3 linked regions of the Lepisosteus oculatus genome follow. The protein of the gene in region 2 interacts with the protein of the main gene of each other region in a pairwise test. Links are inferred from orthologs where the notes say so. Each region holds a gene or a part of one and is shown on either strand. Other genes may lie near its edges.

Evidence for each region.
Region 1: the proteins of hdac6 (region 2) and receptor tyrosine-protein kinase erbB-4 interact in a protein complementation assay, tested with the Homo sapiens proteins (2 studies listed by BioGRID and IntAct, with this or other methods). The link is inferred for Lepisosteus oculatus from reciprocal best matches to the Homo sapiens genes HDAC6 and ERBB4.
Region 3: the proteins of hdac6 (region 2) and receptor tyrosine-protein kinase erbB-3 interact in a protein complementation assay, tested with the Homo sapiens proteins (2 studies listed by BioGRID and IntAct, with this or other methods). The link is inferred for Lepisosteus oculatus from reciprocal best matches to the Homo sapiens genes HDAC6 and ERBB3.

What each region holds. Positions count from the first base shown.
Region 1 is NC_090707.1:8,562,686-8,569,998, reverse strand, and holds the start of receptor tyrosine-protein kinase erbB-4, read right to left. Parts: upstream 3,028-7,313; 5' UTR 2,747-3,027; coding exon 2,671-2,746; intron 1-2,670. UniProt on the Homo sapiens protein: Tyrosine-protein kinase that plays an essential role as cell surface receptor for neuregulins and EGF family members and regulates development of the heart, the central nervous system and the mammary gland, gene transcription, cell proliferation, differentiation, migration and apoptosis.
Region 2 is NC_090697.1:75,338,564-75,345,775, forward strand, and holds the start of hdac6 (histone deacetylase 6), read right to left. Parts: upstream 3,099-7,212; 5' UTR 2,983-3,098; intron 2,229-2,982; 5' UTR 2,195-2,228; coding exon 2,111-2,194; intron 1-2,110.
Region 3 is NC_090696.1:14,628,175-14,636,140, reverse strand, and holds the start of receptor tyrosine-protein kinase erbB-3, read right to left. Parts: upstream 3,037-7,966; 5' UTR 3,029-3,036; coding exon 2,947-3,028; intron 1-2,946. UniProt on the Homo sapiens protein: Tyrosine-protein kinase that plays an essential role as cell surface receptor for neuregulins.

The sequences.
Region 1 (7,313 bases), on a different chromosome or scaffold from region 2:
AGCCCTGCTTGGTACATGGGGAGTAACGAGAGATGCTAAGCAATGCAGGCATTCGGTGTGTAGGGCTTAATAAGTTAAGAGTAAACATTTGAACCGAATGCGGTGTGTGATGGGGAGCCAGCGAAGACGTGCCAGACCTGGGGTGATGTGCCTTGAACGCATTAAATCAACGTAAGGAAAGACCCAGACGTCTGAGTCTATGGATTTTTCCTGTCACTACTAAAACAGTACCCATCATAATGTAATCATAAAGTTAGAAGCAATTCAGGGAATCCCGAAGATTATCTGTGTTTCAGTTTATGAACTGAACATTAATAAAGAAGACGAAAGGGCACTTGTAAATGTGTTACCCGTCATCTCATGTCCTTTATGACAGTGAAGTCCTGTTTAGTCCAGGGACAGTCACAACACCGAAAGAGCCTGCTGCGGACTTGGGAGAGATTTCTAATGAACCACGTACCAAGGCTCCAATTGTACACGTGCAGAATATGTCCTTGGCTAAAAGTATAGTATCACTATTATCATTAACAACGTTTGTAACCCATTTCTAGAGTTCAGTACGCTTTAAAAGGACGTTCGCTTAATGTGAGGATTTGTTTTTCGTGAGGGGGTGAAACAGCAGAACTGCCATTTAATTAAAAGGAGAACGCCTCGCCTACTTTTCATTAAACAATTCTTGAGACAACGGAACGCTAACTCGTAATATTGAACGTACAGTAAACGGATGCAAAATCTCACTGAAGTATTGAAGAACTCCTTTCTAGAAGTTCTCCGAGGAATGTTTTGAATACAGATATACAGTACACCTTTGCATAATAATGTAGATAGATGAGTATAAGGGAGAATTATGAACAGGTATATGCCACTGTCTGAGAAGTGAGTAAGACGCACTTTTCGCTAGAACCTGAAACTTCTCCACTTTCTGACCCACGCAAGATTTCCACACCTTGCAGTTACACACATTCGCGAATAACCCTCCGGCGCACGATCTCAAGGGAAACACACACCTATGACTCTCAGCGAGGCTCGGCTGCCCTTTAGCCTGAATCCTATCAGCTGCGAAACATACAGTATAAGACAAGAGACGCCACAGGCTGCAGAGTTCAGATTGTACACAGCGCGAAAGGACTGCGAGTCTCCGGATCATACCACCACCGTGTGGAGATGCGGTTGTTTCTCCCAAGCAATCAAAACTATATCTCAACTTGTTTAAACAGCACAGCCCGATCTCTTGCAGCGTAATAATGCCCGGTCCTCCAATAGACCAAGCTAACAGTCAGCCAAATTCTGTTTCATATGGCACAGACGGTGCATTTTATTGTGCCTACAGAGACTACAGTAAAGAAAATACAGAACAAGGTATCAAAACCCTTTGTGATCCCAAACGTTTGGAGACGCGTAAGATACTATATGTCACCACTCAGGTGCAAAACCATTAAATGAGTAATTAGTAATGAGTGCTAATTAGTCGATTACTTGCTAATTTATTTAAAAAAATGTACAGTAGTTATTACTCGCATGTTACAGGTCCTGTGTGGGTACTTCGAATGTTTCCCAATCTGTTCATTATGTTATGAACAGACTGCCACATTACTTCCGAAATTTAGTTTATTTACTTCTCATAAACACCATTGAACACCCAAAGAACGAAGAAGTTTTTGTTGTGCTCTGTAAATAATGTTTCAGATGCGCAAGTCGAGGCTCGGTGTCTTTGAACGGGAACTATAGCTTCGTCAATCGAAACGCGAGACAGCTATGAGCTAATAATTATTAATAATAATAACTGGCGTTAACGACTAATTAGATGTTCTTTATACATGTTTACGTTTCATTACGCAGATTAACCATATGACAACGAACAACATCTGAAGATGCCATACAATGTGAAGAATATCTAAATTCTAGTAAAACACCAAACGGCGTTAAGGATGCTGATAGTAGTCCGCAGATATTTAAATCGTCAACACCGCATCGATTATTAAAATCGCGTATTTATAGCACCTCCATTCGTCCTTCTTAAATTGCTGGCATTTTTTAAATCACTGACGACGGGAAAGGCGGTAGGTCAGGTGCAATCGCTCAAGAAGGCAGCGGGAAGAAACACAAACGAACTGGTTAAGCCTCTTTTTGCTCAAGGGACGAAAAAACACGGTGGGAAAACGTGAGTGAGTGGACAATAGTTCTCCGGTGTGTCCGGGACACGTGCGGCGTGAACTCCATGTCCAATTCTCTAAAAAACCAAAAATCCTGATTCTCTTGAGTCTCCGAGACGCACTTTAACATACCCCTAATAATCAAGGCGCGATAGCACAACCCCGCAGTCTCTCAAAAACAGGTACAGCATAAACAGTATCAAGATCGACATCGTAGTGAAAGAGGAGTGTCGGAGCCGAAAGAGCCTTAAAAACAACACATTCCTGCTCTCATTTACTGACTGTCATTCCGTTCATAACTTGTGGTCCACAATGTACAATATCACACATTTGGCGATTGTGAGAAATAGACTGTGACCAGCGTTACCAGCAACTGTAGAGTCCACACGGCGCAGAAACTACTAGCCCGACTAGTGAGAAACAACAGTACCTCACAGCCCAATAACAACACACGCTGGAGCATGACATTTAACAATACACCTTGCGCACGATACGAGAACAAATATATCCTACCCACCTGACTGCGATGAGCTGATCCTGACGATCACAAAACTGAACAGCAAGCCGAAGCAGTACAGAGTGGTTGGCTTCATTTTTTTGGGGGGTAGCAGTTACTCCTTAAATTCACATGTCCAGCAACATATCCCGTTTATTTATTTATTTTTTAATGGACAAAAGAAATCTTGAGCTGATGACAGGGTTTCGATGCACGGTTTGAAACGTAAATATGTCTCCTCCAGGTGTGTCTTAGTCCTGTTTGTGCCTTGAAAAGATTTGCCGAAGTTCGCACAGTAGTAATGTACTTTCCACAGCGTGGTATACAGTAGCTTGCCCTGATTGCAGTGCTAAGCTCATGCCATTACTCTCTGCAGAGTTCAGCACACAGCGTCCGCTCGAAAGCTGGAGACACGCCCCCCTGAGGGAGTTTCCCCGCCCATCGCCCGGTGCATTGGCTCCAAAGGCGGCCGGTACAATTGGTCCCCGCCTTTAACCACGCCTTCCTGCGCTCCCATTGGGTCTTCAGGCCTTCCCAAAAATTGCTGTTTTATTCAGCGCAAACACCTGTCTCAAAGGCAGAACCGAGTCAGGTGAACGCGCAACTGTCGGCGCGATTTAATGTGGTATTTTCTTGGGTTCTCTGGCGTCAACCTGGTAGTGTTTTCTAATAATACTATTATCAGAGATAAAATTTTGTTTCCCAGACTTGGAATAATCGGAACGTAGCATTTAAGAAGCGCATTATTTGACCTTTAAAAAACTTTCTGATAAATACAGTAATAGATTAAACAAAAAAACGTTGTCTTATCACGGAAGAAGGACGATTTCAAAGAACACCTTTATGGGTTAAGATATCATAAGCCATACTAAAGTAAGAGTCCTACGTGTAACAGTTATTAGAAATTGATTGCAAAAGTGAAACAACGAGCACGGTGGACTATTTAGAACAAATTTAAATTAAACTATTTATACTGACGGCTGTAATCAAGCCAAACGCAATTTTCCATAATAGTTCGTATATGACACTAAGTACACAGGTGGATTTTTAAACCCACTTACGATTCTTTTATATTACTTATAATTCTTTACAAAAGTGCTTCTTTTGTACTTCTCTTATATTCCTACAAGGCAAGTCCTGCTGATTTCGCATTTATTATGCACGGTGTATCTGCGTGTGTACAGGAAGTCCAATTGGTGTCACTCTCCAATTGTTTTTGTGTTGTGTCCTTTGTTGGTAAGTTGTTCAGACCACTAGTAAGTGATTCCAGGTTCCTCTCTTCAGAAACATGAAAAAGATTTAGTGGAAGAAACCACAAAAGATAAGCCACTGGCATTAGGCTCACTTGTGTCCTTAAAATCCCAGAAACTTGTCTTCCCAATAATTCTCACCATCACCTGCCATTCAGTCCCTGCCAGGGGGATACACACAGCTTTGAATCACAATATGCTGGAACATCTGGCCCAAACTCTGCCTTTTGGCTGGCCTAACCCTCTGCAGTATCATGAGTGTTAACATCCACGATAATCCTAAAATGACTTACAGAAGACATTCAGCATGAGAAGACAGTTTGTTTGCATTTCAGAAAATTTAGCACAAGCAGTTGCATGTTTCTGCTGCATATGCATAAATCATGCTCAGAAACATATCGTTAGATACATGTAATAAATACAGAGCATACAGTATGTAGCAGATGAACTTTTATTATAAAGATTCCAAAGAAGAAGGTAAATTAAGTCTCTTTCTTTTTACACTAGTTGCATTTCTTAGCATTCTTAAAAATCTCATTTGTGTTGAAATCAAAATATTAGTAAAACATCTAAAAAACAACTCTTTTCAGATGTTAGAAGGTACTGTAAGTAAGGCTGAACCTGGTCAGTATTCAGCTGGGGGACCTGTAACTGTTGTTCATGAAAGGCAAAATAAATATGTAAAATACCAATACGAGATTTTAAATAAACTTTTAACCTTCTAGTTTCAATTGCTGCAAGTGTGTGTTTTTGTGTGTGGAACATTAGGTGGTGTTCTTCTGTTTGGATTCGAATGTCCAATTCAAATTCTGGTCCCCAGAAATGTAAACCAGGGACATTGTGCTGTAGGAGATGCTGTCCCTTGGATGAGATGTTCAGCTGAGTGTCTGGCTATGTGGTCAGCAGAGTTCCCACTACAGTGCTGTGGCACTCCCAGTGTCCTGCTTGGTGAGGGCTACACTTCGCTTGTGGATGAACTTCACATGGGGTCTGTGATGAAGGTGATGATGATATGATGATTGAGTGCAGTGTCTGGAAAGGCACTATATAAATCTAAGGATTACTATTATTCTGGCAAGCAACTGGCACAAAGCAGCATACACCCTAGACTATCACAGGGCACAAAGACATAGACTCTCAAAAGATGATGATGATGATGATTATAATATTGTGGAATTTGTGAGATCCCTAGATCAGATGCTACCTACCTCCTCTCATTTGCAGTCTTTCTTGTATTCGTATCTTCTTATTCTTGGAATTATAATTAAAAAAAACAACCTCAGCTTCAGGGAGGAAATAACATTATCCATCATTGTCTAAGTTTGTGTTTCGCACTATGACTGGAATTGCCTTTAAACAAAAATAAAAGATTTTGTACCTTAAAGAACAATGTGCTGTGTGGACAGTCACGGTGCAGTACTTTACACCGCGAGAGTGAACAGTGAGACTTGACTTGAGTTATCATTTCAATTTAGCAACATTTGTGCTTCAGCCAGGCTAGTGCTGGCTGGAAAATACTTACTAATCACTTGGGCACAGATGTTAATGTTTTTTTTTTGTTTTGTTTGTGTAGTTAGATTATTTGCTCTAACACCAGAAAATATTATAGATTTGCATGCAAGGGTTCCTGCCGACTGTTCTGAGGGTGGTAACTCATATTTGAACTAATGTTTTGTTCAGCGCTGGAATGTGGGTCTACTATTTATAATATAGATAATTTAGTTTTCTTTAGTTTTCAGTTCGGTTTTTAATTAAACAGTTTTGTGTTTAAAATAAGAGAGCATTGTTCTGTTATCCCGTGCTTTTCAAACCCACTGCCGTCTGCTGGTGTACTTTCAACGTGTAATTATTTTAATTATATTTATTATTTAGAAAGGAGGAGGAAGAGGTTACACATTGAAGGGTAAAATTACTCTCATCAAAGTGACCCACTGGCCTGGCAGCCAAAAGAGGTAGATTTTTTTAGGGTCCTGTCTGACATTCGAAGGCCATGTGTGCGTGTACTTGTGTGTCAAATGAAACGCCCTCCGCAGCTATTAAAACTTGCAGTCAGATCGCGTTGTTGTAATGCCGTCCCTAATCCAGACGGGGGAGCCTTTGAGTACCTCTGGGGTCAAGAAAAGAGTAAAGGACGATGCAGATTTCATACCGTGTTGAAAACTATGATGATTCGGATACTGGCCTTTTATTATTAAGACACATTAAATGTTTAATTTAATGTGCTTTTAATAATGTAACGTGTGGGTGATTATCAAAATATCAAAGGAAGAAGTCATATTTAATAGGGTTTTAGTAAGTGCACCCCACGTGTCCAGACTTGATTAACGTAATAACAAATTTAATTTTAGCGCAATAGCTTTTTAATAGAGTGCTGCTTAGACCGTACCTCTCTCAAACCGTCAATTAAACATTGTATATTTTCAGAATACAAAAATTAACTACACAGAATTACTGTAGTTTATAAGCCAGCTCTGTGAAGGTGGATGTTTATAATTTCAGCGGGAGAGTCAGAGCCTGTTTAATGGATGAGCGTGTAGCGAAGCAGAAGCATTAATAACAGGAAACCTTGAGAATCTCTGGCTATCATAATATATTCAGAAACACAATGCAAATGATAAAACTGCTTTATTACATTTTGCATAACTCACTCCTATGAATCCCCTGCACTCTGGCTCGATCTGCCACAGGAAACGTGCACATTTTCAGGCACATAATAGGAAAAAGCATCTCATACTGTAGGAGTTATGAAAAGCTTTACCCCAGGATGAATACCCAGAGTTCCCCCGGGTGACCGACCCTACAAAAATCCATATTTTCTGATGCACATCAAGACACCCATCCATCCCATAAAGAATCGCAGCATGGGCTAAAAATGTATTTTAATTTCTAAAACTATATTTCCTTAAAGGTAAAACGAGTGACCTAACAGCTCTTTCAAGGGGCAAAGGACAAATAAAATGGACAGGGGGGTTTTGGAAGAAGGCATTTAGAAATAAGGGAAATCAGTTACACCTCATCTGTGAGGATGCAGAAAGAGTTTAAACCACCCCTTCGATCCCAGGAAGAAATCCCTTCAGGTTGTGCAAGATTGACATGCTTCAGAAACACAGTCCACCTGTGCAGGTGCCTGTACAGCCCTAGAGCTGGGCACAGGCTGGCTTCAATTCAATTCCATTCAACTTTATTGTCATTAAACTTACACAGGTGCATAGTATAATGAAAAGTGTTTCTCATTAGTCACTCAGGTGCAGTATATAAATAGGACAGAAGATAAGACAATAGACAGTTACACAATAGCAATAACAGTAACATGTAATAACATAACATAAATAACATAATAACATGTACATAAATAACATGTATGGTTTGACACAAGGGTCCTGTCATCAGCTCCTCACTTACATCCTCTTCATG
Region 2 (7,212 bases):
AATGGATACACAGATGAACAGAATGAGCACTGAACTAAATGTATCGAAATAAAAAAAACAAGCAGGAAAAATGAAAGGGGAAAAAAGTCAAATGAAGCTGAAAAAATGCAAAGAAAAAGAAAAGACTGAACAGAGTTGGATGGCTGACCGAAGTGCAGGGCTGGTATCTCCGCTGGTCCGCAGGCGGTACAGGGCGAGAGCAGAGTGTGGAGTGTGGAGCCAGATCACAGCGTCTTTAAACAGCTCCGTCTCAGACACACACCTGAGCTACACGCCCCTGCCCCTCCGGCTTAGTGCACCACAGCCAAATGACATTTAAAAATTAACACAGCTACAGCGCCGAGGGCTATGACTGGCACCGTGCCCAGTGACGCACTGGTGCTCTGGTGCAGCTGGTGCAGGGCTGGACCTGGCCTCAGCTCCACCCTCAGTGCAGTGCTGCCACTGCAGGAGAGGATCAGAGAGGTCACAAAGTCCGGTCCCACATTAGCAATACGGACAAGCAGTCTGCCCCACGATCTCCTCTCTGTGTCCAAGAGAAACCCGCTCCTGCTCTCAGTGCCTGAATCTCCTGCTCAAGTACGCTGGGGTCGAAGTGGAAACCTCACCCCATCAAAGAGCCCTGATATAATGTAATTACAACGTAAAATGTAACTGACATGACATAAACACATCAACTTTAGGTGCATTACTTGCCTTTACCAAAGGAGAGAAATGAGGAGGAATGCCGGCGTTACTGTGTCCGGTTACTAATTGATCCCAGGATCTCATCCAGCTGTTCTCTAAAAGAACCCACAGTATCGGCTTCAACCACACGGCACGCGAGAAAGCGCACTGGAGCCCTTCTCGTGCAGAAGCCCGAAAGCTATTTTTACATGACTAGACCACTGTGCCGTCTTTTTTCAACCGTGGAGCATCCCCACGGAACACTGTTCTTTCTAAACGCAAACACCAGCCCTCGTGTGTCCCCTACAGAAACTATGAAACCATGGCATAGGTATCAGATAGCCTGGGGGGGAGAAAGACGTCACTGGATCCAAGCGACAAACACAATCTGACAAGATACTGTATTCATTATTGTAAACCTATACGTTATGAGATTGTAGGAAACGATTTCTACAAGGGTAGAAACCAGGAGATTCTCTAGCATTTCCAAATTCTGGGAAAAAGGCAAGTCCGGCACCTGTGTCAGCGAGAAACAGCATTCAATCCTTAAATCTTTCTCAGGGGCTTTGCGTGGAAAGGGGTCAAGCTCTCAGCCACCTGTACTTTGTGCAGCCTTCATTCCTGGGCCTCGTGCACCCCCTGCCCTCTCCACCTGCTCCGCCTTCACACACTCCCTCTCCGGCAGAGCTCCGTCCTGGAGTTACCTGGGCCTGCCTCCCGGGCCAGACGTGGCTCGGCCACCAGGTCTCGGGGCAGAGTGCCTCTACAGCAGCGGAGCGTTTAATGAGCAAGCGTCTGGAAGGGCAGAGCTATCCATCAGCCAGGGTCGGGCAGGGGCACAGGGGAGAGCCAATGAGAGGGGCTCACACAGACACGCCCCCACACAGTCCCCTGCTAGCCACCTCCCTCAGTTTGACCTTCACATTCTAATTGTCATCGGAATTAATTAGTAACTGTGCACTCTACACAGCCCTGTCTCACCACAATGAGAAACTGCAGAGTAGCCGTTACATGATCAAGCACAAAACTCCCCATCCATGACGGGAACACTATACTGTAAAAAGGCGCTGTCCTTCGGATGAGACGTAAAGCCGAGGTCCTGAGTTTTTTTGGTTATTAAAAATCCCAGGACGTTTCTTGAAGAGATCGGGTGTAAACCTGGCGTCCTGGCCAAATTTCCCCCTGGCCTTTACCAATCATGGCCTTCTAATAACCCCCCTCTCTGAACTGGCTTCATCACTCTGCTCTCCTCCCCTCTGAGAGCTGCTGTGTGGGGAGTGGACTGGCGCACTGGTGGGGGTGGAAGGGATCCCCATTACCTGTAAAGCTCTTTGAGTGAAGTGTCAAGAAAAGCGCTATATAAACACTGTGTGAGAAATTATTAAGAGAATGATGGGCTCCCCTGAGTTACACCTCTTCCTCAGACTGTGCCACGCCCACCTACCTTGGATGAGGAGCCTGGTGACTTGGGGGAGTGGGAGGAGCCTCGACGAGACCCCGCCTCCTCGGGATTGGGTATGGAATCCATGCTGGGACAAACTTCCTCAGGCACTGGTTAAAGACTGCAGAGCATTTAAAAGTATTTATACAGGGTTTTCATTCAGCAGCTCACGTACTGACACTGATGACTCATAGGGGGTCATTTCTGCGTGGGTTGTATAACAGTTTGTAGTTTGTAGTTTCTAGTTTCTGAGGCAAAGCATGGATTTCCTTTCCTATAGTTGCATGACAGTCTGTGAGTTTAGCTAAAAAACAAAAACTTATTTATTATTTCAACATTACGCTCCCACCAGAAAATAAACATTCTGAAAGATTCCCAGAGTTTGAATTACACTGTCTGGCCACGTTACAAAAGAACCGAACATAAAGTTCACTCAACGGCAGCACAAGTGACTCTTCCTACTGAATTAATAACTTGAATATGTCTGTAGAATTCTTCTCAAATTCGTTACTGTAAGGCGGAACACAAAAGCGCTCGATCTTAAACAGTCCAGTCCGGGGTGTTACTGCTGTACTCATTTACTACTGTAGCCAAAGCCACACGAGTTTTAAAATAATTAAAAATAGATTGAAATTGCGGCTAATAGCCACATATTTACGTGCATGTTGTAACCCAAATAAAGACAATCATCAATAACAGTATTCGAAAAGAAACTGTAACGGCTAAGTGGGAAGTTAATTAAGCTACTTCAAGTGGACCTTTTCTGAACTGACTGCACATTTTAGTTCTCGATTTGTCGCCAAGAGAGACATTTTCTATTACGCTCCTACGGAAAAGCCGAAACAGTGTACTGTTTTATAGTTTGAATTGCTTACAGGTGTGCTTTCTTCAAATCGCAGATGAACTGTCGAGATGCTTCAATCTTCATTCAAAAGTCGCTGCGCTCAGCCGCTCTCCATCCTCAGACAGACACCCACCGGGGCGCAGGCTGATGACGTCACACCACCCACCTTCGCAATGCTACCGTTTTCCTCGGTATTTGGAGACGCGGATCACGGTGTCACATAACTGGGAAGGGGGGCAGCTTTTATTACTGTTACAAAATAAACGATAGGGTGTTGTCACATTCAGTTTTGCGAATGTGAAGCTTTTGGCGGGATTTTTTTTCGTCAAGCCAATAAAAACAGGTCCGAATCAAATTGTAATTGGCTCCGCTAACGGTCGGTAGATGTCGCCCAAACTACATCCTGCAACTCTGCAGCAGAATTCGCCACAAGCCTTAATCACCAATCTAGTGGCTACAGTCTGTTGTGTATTAATCGTAACAATGCCAGAAATGTCCCTCTACACTGCAGGGGCCTATAAACATGCTTTTCATCAGGATAGAGCAATGGAGAGCCCATCCTGGTGCAAAGTTAGGGCAGAGCAGACCTCATGATGATGGGCAGCACCCCCACTCCCCCTCCCAAACTCTAATGCCTCCTACCAGCAGTAACTGTTACACAACAGCAGCCCATGAGAGGCAGGGAGTCTGAGAACAGGCCGGGACTGCGATGGAAGAGATAGCCAGGCTTTGAAGGGAGAGCAGAGAGCAGCCGGCCCTGCGTGGTGATAAGGCCTGGGGGGTCGGGTAGGCCAGCAGTGGGCGTGAGGAAGCTGGGGGGGTGGGTATGAGCTCATACTAGAGCTTGGGGACTGGACTGGCAGGCCACAGTCCCTCCACACAAAGGCCCTTGTTCCCTTATAAGCACACAAAAGTACCAGACAGCTCTATATCTGATGCAATAGAGGTCTGTTCGGAAAAATAGAGGAAAAGAAAATATGCCCTTCTCCCTTCTGCATTTTCGTGTTCTTCTTCTCTATTATTTGTTTAGAGGAGACATTTAAGAACTTGAATACCATATTGGTCTTTGGAAATTTTCCTCCTTTCAAGAACATTTCATGCTCTTGAACTGTTAATTCTTCCCCTTCCCCTCCCTCCTGGACGTGTCCGTGCATTTGAACTGGATATTGCCCACAGACAGAAAAATCCTGGCCCAGATCCTACATCGAAGCAGAATGCTTTTAAAAGTCATCTTATGCCCAGTCAGAACAAAACCCACGAGAGCCAGCGACTCTGTCCGCAGAGAGACTTGGCCACCCTGACCCTTGAACCTTGACCTCTGGCCTGCAGGGGTCATCCAGAAGACCCTCACACAGGGACATTGATGCATCAGCTTCGCATCAACATCCCCTTTGCTTATTTTCAGCCACCATTAATCCTGCAAATAGTTCCCTGATGGAATTCCAGCTACTTCCAGCTAAAAACATGACACCTTTTTTTTTTCCAGCGGTGGTTGTACAGTAGCTGCTAAGTTGTTTTGGGCCCTTTTAGACATATTATACCCCCCTGTCCCAGAGTCTAATGGGCTTGGACCCTCTTGTCCCCTCTTTGGCTCTCTGCAAGGAGAGGCGAGAGCCACACCACACTGCGGCCTCCTCCTGGCGCAGCGGGGGCCAGACAAGACCCCCAGCTGTTTCCAGCCCGGCGGGGCGGGGGCTCTGGGTGTAGAGCACTCTGGAGGAGAGAGAGAGACGGAGTCACTGCGTCCGCTGGGGGAGGGGGTGTAGGAAGGGATGGAGCGGGGGCCATGAGCGCACAGCAACTGTAACAGACAGCGGGAGAGGGAGAGACGGATTCAGGCTCCAACGGATGGGCCCGTGTGTCCGCTGGGCCCGGGGCTGTGGTTGCTAATCTCTCGCCCTCATTCGCTGCCGCTTCCCGAGCCCCGCGAGATAACCCTGTCCGCAGGGCAGAATTTCTTTTTTTCAAAAACCCCGACCCGTCTGCCGTGCTGATAAACGAATAAACCAAACCACCGCCCCCCTCCACGCGCACACACAACGGTGCCTCAGCGTGCCTGCGTGGCCTTTTTTTCATGAAGGTCCGGAAAACCAGAAGCCTGCTGCGTTGCACAATGGGGCTCCAGCCAAGGCGTCAAACCGGAGAGCATGTGGTCAGCAGCTGTCAGGGCGCTGGAGAGAAACAGGCCTCTTTTTCCAGCCTCCAGCTGCACAGATGGCGGGAGAGAAGAGACAGAGGAAGGCAGCAGGGCTCCAGTGGGCAACCAGGCAATGCCATTGCAGGCCAGACTGGATTCCCTCACCCCCCACAGCTCCCCAGTTTACTGGGGCACCCCGATTTCCTTCACTGCAGTCCCTCATATTCACTCCCTCCTGTGCAGACCCATCATGCTGCTTTCTCACATTCTGGAGTGTCTTGGTGATGTTCAGATGAGCAATGCACAGCTTGATTCCAGTGACTGCCACCAACTCTTCCCAGGACTGTCTTCTCACCCCCAAGAGCACCCAAACCCTGGAAGATGCTGCACCTTAGTCCGGAGCACTAGTGATGTCATTTACTGTGGCCAGACTGGGGCACAACCGGAAGACAGCCTGCGACACTACGATATCTGCTGAGGGCGCACTGGGATCCGTTACGGGCCGGCAGCAGTTTCTGGACTGGCTCGAGGGTGACTCTGAAGTGAAGAGGAGGGAGCAGTCTGAGAGAGGGGTCTGGAAGCTGGGAGACTAGCTCTAGGCAGCGGAGAGCTGACAAGCACGCATAGGGGTCCTTAGCTCAGCAGGTGCGGTCACAGAGGCGTCCAGCGGGAATGCCGGATGCATTGGAAAGCTATCAATCCTCTCTCCTTGGGCTTTCATTCTAGTTGCACCTGGCATAGCTAAAAGACTACTGCTTTCTAGGTCAATACACACCAGACTCCAGAAATGACACAAAATGACCTCAAATGATCTCAAATTCCCCTACGCCTCTACCAGCACAGGGGCTCCAGTGCTTTGCTCTCAGCAATTAATTAATTAACTTAGAGCTCATCTGGAATTAATATCAAGACATCCATCAGCCTTCAAAGGACAGTGTGCCCTTCATGCAAACATCACTCACTTAGTTGATCAGTGGCTGAAACACATGTTCCTCATCTTCAAATAACAGGAGAATCCGGGTGACCAGTAAGAATAACTGGATTGGGGATCTGCAGGACCTGGGTTGGGGACCCCTGCTTCAGAGTGTGAATTTGTCCACCGTGCTCCAGCAGGGAGACTGTCCTCAGAGCCTGGAGGCCATTTCTGTGTTTGTGGGGGCAGTGGAGGAGCTGGCCAGCTGTTTCTCTCTCTGTTTGACACATCGGTTTTCAGGGGTTGAAGCAGAAGCCTGAAATAGAGCCATCACAACCCACAGCCCTCGTCCCCTCCCTCGCTGACCCTGTGCTGTGTGGGACTCATGTCAACCGAACTATGCAAATCATTTTTTATTTCTGTTTTTCAGTCTATTTTTCGTTTGTAGATTTATTTTTAAAGGTGTTTTTTTTTCACTGCCCAACAACATCTGGCTGTCTCAAAACGTTTTCTCGCAGAAAGAGTTAATAAGAAAATAAGAAGGTGCTTAGAGATAGCCCTGCAATGAATAAGAACACTGCTGTGTTGGACAGAGAGTACATCAGAACACATTGTTTTAGAATTTAAATCAAGAGATATATGTTAGAATTGTATAACACACCAGGAAGACTTCATTTAGATAACCGCAGACAATTCTGGTCACCAGGTTGTAGAAAAGGTATCTGGAGTCAGTCCAGAGAAGAGAATCCAGAAACATTCAAGGGCTTGAAGGGAAAGTCCTGCACTGACAGGCTGAAGGAACCCAGCCTTTGTCGATTTGCACCATGAACCTAATATTCACAATCCTCAGAGGCACCGACAGAGTCAAAGCCAGTGGTTTTCTCCAGAATAAGCAGAGAGGCACGCACCAGGAGTTCACACCAGTGGAAACTCCATGGAAGGGCATCCAAAGCTGAGAACAGGAGGCACTTCTTTTCACAAAGGGTGGTGGGAGTGTGGAACAAGCTGCCCAACCCATGCTGTTGGGTCTGATACTCTCGTTGCTTTCAGGAATGGGCTGGATGAGATCAGTTCTGAACAAAGGAGCCAAACAGGCTGTATGATCTTCTCTCGTCTCTAGCTCCTCTGTTTGTATTTCTCAGTAAACTAAGGGCCCCAGGGGCTGAGGCAGTGGTTCCCAGTCCCTGCCCCGGTGACCCACACTCCTGCTG
Region 3 (7,966 bases), on a different chromosome or scaffold from region 2:
GCTCTGTCCAAAGAGCTCTCTTGCCTCCTCTCCTGACACTGGCTCTGCTGTACAGCAGGAGGGGATTCTGCAGCCAGCAGAACTTCAGCACATAAGCCCTGCAGTAAAGTTTTACAGCAGGCGGCTATAAGATTTTTATGACAGGAATAACAGCCCTGTCACCAGATGAAGAGCCAGGCATGAACAATCTCAGCCTCTCACTCCAAGGTACTCCCAGAGTACCCCTGAGTACCCACTGCACCCCTCTGGACAAGGTCCCGAGAGGCAGAGAGGCCGAGGTTTCAGTGTTCATATTCCTCCAACACACAGATTCATAAACTACATTATTAAAAAGCAGAAGGATAGAAAACCATCAGTCCCTGTTTCCCAATAATGCTCTGAGCAGGTGTGAATGTGGGTCAACACACACACGGCAATCGTAATGCGTTGCCACCATCCTTACTCGGACTAAAACACAGGCTGTCTCTCCCAGGGCAGACGGTGGTCAGTATGGGGGTGTCTCTCCTTTCTGCTGGAGAGAGAGGGGTGATGCTGCCTGCCCCAGGGCACTCTGGGAAGGCTCAGCAAGGGAGGTGTCGTGTAGGCAGTCGGACCCCAGATTCCGCGCCCCGTCTCGGACCCACCTCTGCTAGGACTGGCCATCCTAGCACAGCCTAACACATCCAAACACCACACCTGCCCTGCTGAACCTTCCCAGAGTGCCCCGGGGCAGCCAGCGTCACCCCTCTCTCGGTAGTAGGAGGGAGAGGCGCCCCCATACTGACCACTGTCTGCAGTGGTCACTGATATCTGGGGCCCTGTTTGACCTGTGACCTCCTCTCCTGAGGCTAGGCCTCTCGCGGTGGCAGCTCAGCCAGGAGATTTTGGTGTGGTTCGGACAACATTCCCAGTGAGGGACAGGACTTGAACCCCGACTCCCGCACAGGCTCGTGGGGGGGCTGCTCAGACGCTGCGAGGCCGTTGCTGGGAGTTGTCGGACCGGAAACTCGGCCAGGCTGAGGGAGTGGCTACAGTCGATTGCTGTGGCTTCATTAATCTGCTGCTGCCCCCACCCAGGCTGAGTCACGCAGAAGGGCCCCAGATAGTCTGCCCTCCACACTGCCTGCGAGTTCGCCGGGAACCAGACACACCTTCCGTCTCTGCAGGCTGTGAAGAGTGAAGGGGCCTGGGGACTGGCTGGGCCATCGGCCCCTCAGCACAGGCAGGAGGCCTGAGAAGGCCAGCAAGAATGTGCCCTGCAGGTGCAGCAGAGCAAACAGGCTGAGCCAGGGAACAGGTCTGTCACTGCTGAGCACACACACTGATACACACACTCACTCTGATAGATAGACACACACAGTGATACACACACTCACTCTGATAGATAGACACACACAGTGATACACACGCTCACTGATAGACACACACAGTGATACACACACTCACTCTGATAGATAGACACACACAGTGATAGACACACACTCACTCTGATAGACACACACACTGATACACACACTCACTCTGATAGATAGACACACACACTGATACACACACTCACTCTGATAGATAGACACACTGATACACACTCACTGATACACACTCACTCTGATAGACACACTCTCTCTGATAGACACATTCACTGATAGACACACACACTGATACACAAACTCACTCTGATAGACACACACACTCACTCTGATACACACACTCACTGATACACACACACACTGATAGACACTCTCTCTGATAGATAGACACACACACACTGATAGACACTCTCTCTGATAGACACACACTGATAGACACTCTCTCTGGTAGACACTCTCTCTGATAGACACTCTCTCTGGTAGACACTCTCTCTGGTAGACACTCTCTCTGGTAGACAAACTCACTCTGATAGACACACACGCGGATACACAAACTCACTCTGATAGACACACTCACTCTGATACACACACTCACTCTGATAGACACACAGATAAACACACTCTTATAGACACACACATTGATACACACACTCACTCTGATAGACACACACACTGATACACACACTCACTCTGATAGACACACAGATAAACACTCTTACAGACACACACATTGATACACACACTCACTCTGATAGACACACACAATGATAAACACACACACATACTGATGAACCACACACAGTAACACACTGATAAACACACAGACACACCGATGGGCTGAAATCCAGACAGCTCTCACACACGATAGCTCCAGAGGTTTACCGAGCGAGTGGAAGGATCCGTCACGAGTTCTCCGAGACCCATGTTCATGTGGACACACGGGCCCCCGGTTCTCTATCGTCTGAGAGTGGGGTGTCCCTCCGTCCGTCAGCCCTTCTGTCAGTGACCCCAGTGTCAGTGACCTCTCAGTGGGTTTACGTGTACAAAGGCCACGGCTGTCAGACCTCCTCGCATACCGAGTCAGACAGAGGTCCCCCCGAGGACGCGGGGCGGGCAGTGACGGCTCAGGAGCTCCCGGGGAACTGTCAAACCCGGGGCTCAAGGGAACCCCCCGGCAGCGCCTCGTCAGCCTGTCCCGCAGCCCGGCTGCCTCACCCGGCACAACACAGAGCACACACCAAGCCAGCCGGGCCCGCTGACGACTCACGGACTTTACCGGTCGCCATTCCCGGAACATTATCAGCCACGACGGGAACGGCAGAGCACCCACCTCCGGGGAACACGCGTCCTTCTTTTTTTGCTAGAAAGGTCAAGTGTTGTGTCACTGAAGAGAGATTTTGACGCCTGGCTCTGTCCCCCGAGTCATTCCCCTTTGCGGGAGGGGGCCAGGTCACCCCCGGGAGGGGGCGGCAGGTGGATGCGGACCGCACGAGGAAGTGTGGGTTCCAGCGCTACTAAATCACAGAGCCGGCACGCGGAGCGGAGCGCAGAGCAGCGGGGGGGGGGGGCACGAGGACGTGCGGGACGGCAGGTCTCTTACCTTCGTGGGACTGCGGGCGAGCGGGCTGTCCGGTCCACAGCAGCGCCAGGCACACTGCGAGCACCTGCCGGCAGAGCGCCATCCGCCCGGACTGGACTGGACTGGACTGCAGCGGAGTGGCCGGGCCGGGCGGGTCAGGGGTGCATGTCGAGCCGGAACAGACGCTGTGTCCCGACTCCCTCTTCCCCTCTCCCGTCCCTTCTAGATCCCAGGCTCGCAAAGTGCGTTCCCAGACCGAATTCCAAGAGTTATCCGCTTTTAGCTTCCTGGTGTATTCTTTGTTCCCCGTAGTATCTATGTGCCCGTCTCCAGGTGTGCCTGCCTCGCAGCCTGAGAGAACAGCGGAAAACCCTCAATCCACCTGAACTGGTTTCGGTTCCAGACTGACGGCGGCAGGCAGGTTCTCTCACGTGTGTCACCTGGTAACCCCAGACTGACAGGGGTGAGAAACAGCAGCAGCAGCAACAACAACAACAGATCCGAGTGCGGGCAGTAATAGTAACGACGGACTTCCCGGTGACTCCTCGGCGCGGCGGTCCGAGGCGATCCGCCACAAGCTGATCCAGAAAGTTGTGAAGCGCGACACCCCCGCTCCACTCCCTTAGTATAAAACAGCGCAGCCGGGGCGCTGATTGGACGGGCCGCTGCCCCGAGCCGCCAATCGGCACCAGCGTCGTGGGAGCGCTGCGAATCGTGGCTGAGGCGGCGGGCAGGGTCCGTCGGGCTGTGAGGCTACAAAACAAAGGTGTAGGCGATTTAAAATATATATATATATGTCACAGGGAGTAATCAAATGAAGTGTCTTTTTGTTGTTGTTTTTTTTTTGGAAATGACGGCAAAAGTCATCACTCTCGGGTTCCCTTGATTCAAGATTCAAGATTAGTATTTGCCAGATACAACAAGTGGATTGGAACGCTTACTCGTTCAGCTGTGGAGGAAAAACCAATAGGCAGAAATGACAAACACGGACAATACATTGAGAAAATAGACGTTATAATACAGCCAAGGCAGGACATAGCGCAAACAGCGCAGTACCTTAAAGTGCAGGTGCTACTTTGAGGTGTTTAAGATGCGGACTGCTTGGGGGGGAGGAAACTGTTTTTTGAATATATTGGTCAGTGTTCTGATACTGCGATACCTCCTACCGGAACCCAGGGGTGAAAACAGACCGTGGCCAGGGTGAACTGGGTGCCGAAGTATAGCTCGAGCCCGGCTGCGGTCGAGATATATCCGGTCCCAGGGATTTTCTGCGCGGACCTCTCAGCCCTCTGTATGGCTTTTCTGTCCTGTACTGTGGCTCCACCGTACCACACCGCAATACCACCGGCCAGGACACTCTGAACCGTATTAGGGTAGAAATTGGTGAGGGTAGTCTTGCTCATCCCCCACTCCCGGAACTGTTTCGGGACGTGAAGGCGCTGGTGCGCTTTAGTGAGGATGGCAGCAAAAGAGCAAAATGACCTCTCCGACCAGGTCAGTGGCCGAGAGTGGGATGTCTCTGCGCCCGCCGGTCCCGCCAGCCAGACGCCGCTCCGCTCAAACACACCGGGTCGCAGTGATACCCTTATTTTCAGGGTAATAGACCCGGGCCCGTAGCGCCTGCTCCGAAAGGGCAGAGCTTAGGGACCCTCCGGGGGGCGATGGGCACTTTGAGTGAAGTTGCGTGTTTCCACCAATGGGACATCTTTCTGTCGTGCTGCTTTTATGTGAGGGGATATTTATATCGACTCGGAGGGGCCGCTGGTCTCCGTGAGAGAACCATTGTGCCTTTCTCCCGCTAGCCGCGACTTAATCACCCCGGCTTTGATGGGGACAGATTGTCCGGCAACAACGGCCGCATTGTCTCGGCGCGCCGGGCCTCTGATCTGCAGCCGGACGCGCCTCTCGTCAGGGAGAGAGGAGACTCGGCTCTGCTCTCATCCGCCTCCCTTCCTGCAGGCCGGGTTGAGAAAAATCCCTATTTCGGTAAAAGTCGGGTGTAAAAGGCAACAGGTCTCTGGATGGAAGGAGCTCCTTTATAACCGGGGAATTTCTGGCGCATCTTAGAAACCCGGTAAAGCGCATATTAGGGTCTTTAACGGGTCCTGGGCGTTAGGGAATCTTCCGGGTTTTATTTCAAACTACTCAAATATTTAAATAAATCTGCTGTTGGCTTAATTAGCCCAAATGTCGACGACCTGTAGGTTGAAGACAGACGCCTACAGATAGTGAAGAGCCCAGTTACAGGGCTGCACAGTCAGAGCCCTCTAAACCCCAGATTCGTGGTCAAAGCCTTCTCAAAAGAGACGCTCAGCAAACAAGGCCCTATCAGAACAGGCTGTTCAAAGTGTCTGTGTGTTTAAAAGGGTCAGACCCACCCTGTAAGAAAACTGCAGGCAATGGAGTGAGGCCACAGCTCAGGTGTGCACTCGGATTCGAATTCCAAGGGTGTTCTGGGCCTGGCCCTTGCATTGCTGTTGGATGCTGGGAAGGCAATAACTAGCAAAACATTCACAGCCACTCACAACAGAACATTCCTGTTACTGTGGAGAGGCTCTCTGTTCCTCCTCCAGTGGGACTGGGAGCTGTTCTGATTCTGGCAGGGGTGGGAATTCAGGGATTAGGATTGTTGTTTGTGGGGAAGAATATTTGTCTAATCTCAGAATACTACCTGTTTCACATTCAGTGAGCTGAGCACTCTCACTCTGTGTCACACCCTGCTAGCTGTGCACTCACTCTCTGTCTCACTCTGCTAGCTGTGGACTCCCTGCTAGCTGTGCACTCACTCTGTCTCACTCTGCTAGCTGTTCACTCACTCTCTGTCCCACTCTCTCAGTGTGCTAGCTGTGCACTTCTTTGTCTCACAGTCTGCTAGCTATGCACTGCTCTGTCTCACTCTCTGCTAGCCGTGCACTCCTGTCTCACTCTGCTAGCTGTGGACTCCCTGCTAGCTGTGCACTCACTGTCTCACTCTCTGTCTGCTAGCTGTGCACTCCGTTGTCTCACTCTCAGTCTGCTAGCTATGCACTCCTGTCTCACTCTCTGCTAGCCGTGCACTCACTCTGTCTCACTCTCTGCTAGCTGTACACTCACTCTGTCTCACTCTCTGTCTCTCTCTGCTAGTTGTGCACTCACTTTGTCTCACTCTCTGTCTCACTCTGTATGTACAGGAATCTGGACTCAGACGGACTAAACAATGCGGAACAGAGATCATCAACACGCCCCTCCTCGCTGTTCCCGAGGCGCACAAACAGGACTCATGTTTTTCATAGCGGGGAGTGTTGCTCTCATTGTTTCGCGTGTTTCTAAGCCGCAGAACTGGTTCAAAACTCGAAATTCCGGCAGGTCCGACAGCCTGTAGTAATGATTGAAGCGTCGTGAAAAACAGGCCCCGAATGGGCCGCACTGATTTACCTGCTCAAAGCTGTAATTTTCAGATCACCGAATTCGCCAGATCGAGATAATTATAAGGGAAAGACAAAACAGATTCAGTAAGTCAGCGCTCAAACACACACAAAGGCCCACACAATGGAAGCTGCAGAGAAACGGTGGAGAACAGGGAACAGAATACACCATTCAAGACTGATGCCAGCTCACTCGCTCGGGGTGCTACCCCTACTGAAGAACTGACTAATTTTCAGAGACCTTACAAGCGACCCTGCCGGCGATTTCCGAGCGCAGAGAAGACGTTTAATCAAGGATGCCCTCTTGTGGTCTCCATTAGGTACTGCACATAACTAGCACTGGAAACGCTGTAGTCGATTAACCTAGCTTGATACACTGTGCTTGTCTTATTTCACGTGACCTTCAACTGTTTGTTAAACTTTTTATTTAACAATTAAAGAATTTACAAATACAACATGTACAATACAAAGTAGTGCAAGTTCATTTTATATAATAACTCATTAAACTTATTAACTAATTACTTAATTAACTATTAATTAACCAATCAATGAATTAATTATATTCTTATGTAATATTATTTCTATTAATTTATATAACGTTATGCCAGCATTGATGGGAGGTTACAGTACATATAATCAGCAAAAATAAAACGCTGTTTCATCTTCTTTCACAGAACAAAATCAAGTCACAATGGGACCTCAGCCCAATCCAGGCCTGCCAGTATTAGCCAAACCTTTCTGCTTCTAACCTAAAAGAAAAGATGATCTTTTCCATTATATTTCCCTTATAGAATTATCTCCTTCACAGCACTGTTGGGAGTTCTTTAATAAACCACTTTCTAGTGATAGTGTTCTTACTAGCAGCTAAAATAATTCCTAGTATATATCCATCCTTTAATTCCATGTAGTCAGAAGTAAAAGTACCAAAATACATAACAGATAATTCAAAGGGTATTTGTAGATTTACTATATTAGTAAGCACAAAATACAGTATATGAATTTCCAATATTGTTGTTTTTTCATGAATGACCAGAATGTGTTTGAATAAGTTGCAACTTGTTCTCCACTTAACATCCAACATCGTGAATAGCTTCCTTTTTGTTTTGCTGGAATTTTAAGACTATTAAAAAACCGAATCTAATGTTTTCAACAGCAATTTCTCCAAACTTGTAAACTGGTGGAGCTTAGTTGAAATCTGTTCTTCCACTGTTCTGCGGAAACTGTCTTATCATTTTCTTTTTCCCCACTATATTTTAATATAATTAATTTAATCGTTTTTCATACCTTCAATGTTATTATAGTTTTGAGATTATTTTCTTCTGGTTGCTTTGCTTGTACAAAGCTATAAAATGATCAAGCAGTTTACTACTTTGCTCTGTATTTGGTTGTTATACCCAACTATCTATTTAGTGCCTAATTTGGAAGTATCTGTAGAACTCTTATTTCTAGGCTATAAATCTATAATCTATCACTTGTTTCTTTGCTTTAAATTCTAGGCTATTTATCTAGGTGATAAATCTTCTACGTTTTTCAGGTGATTCTGTTTCATCAAGGTACATATTGCTGTGATGCCTCTAATAGTCCAGATTTTAGAATGTTATCAGATTTTCCAGTACAGAAATCAGAATAATAACATA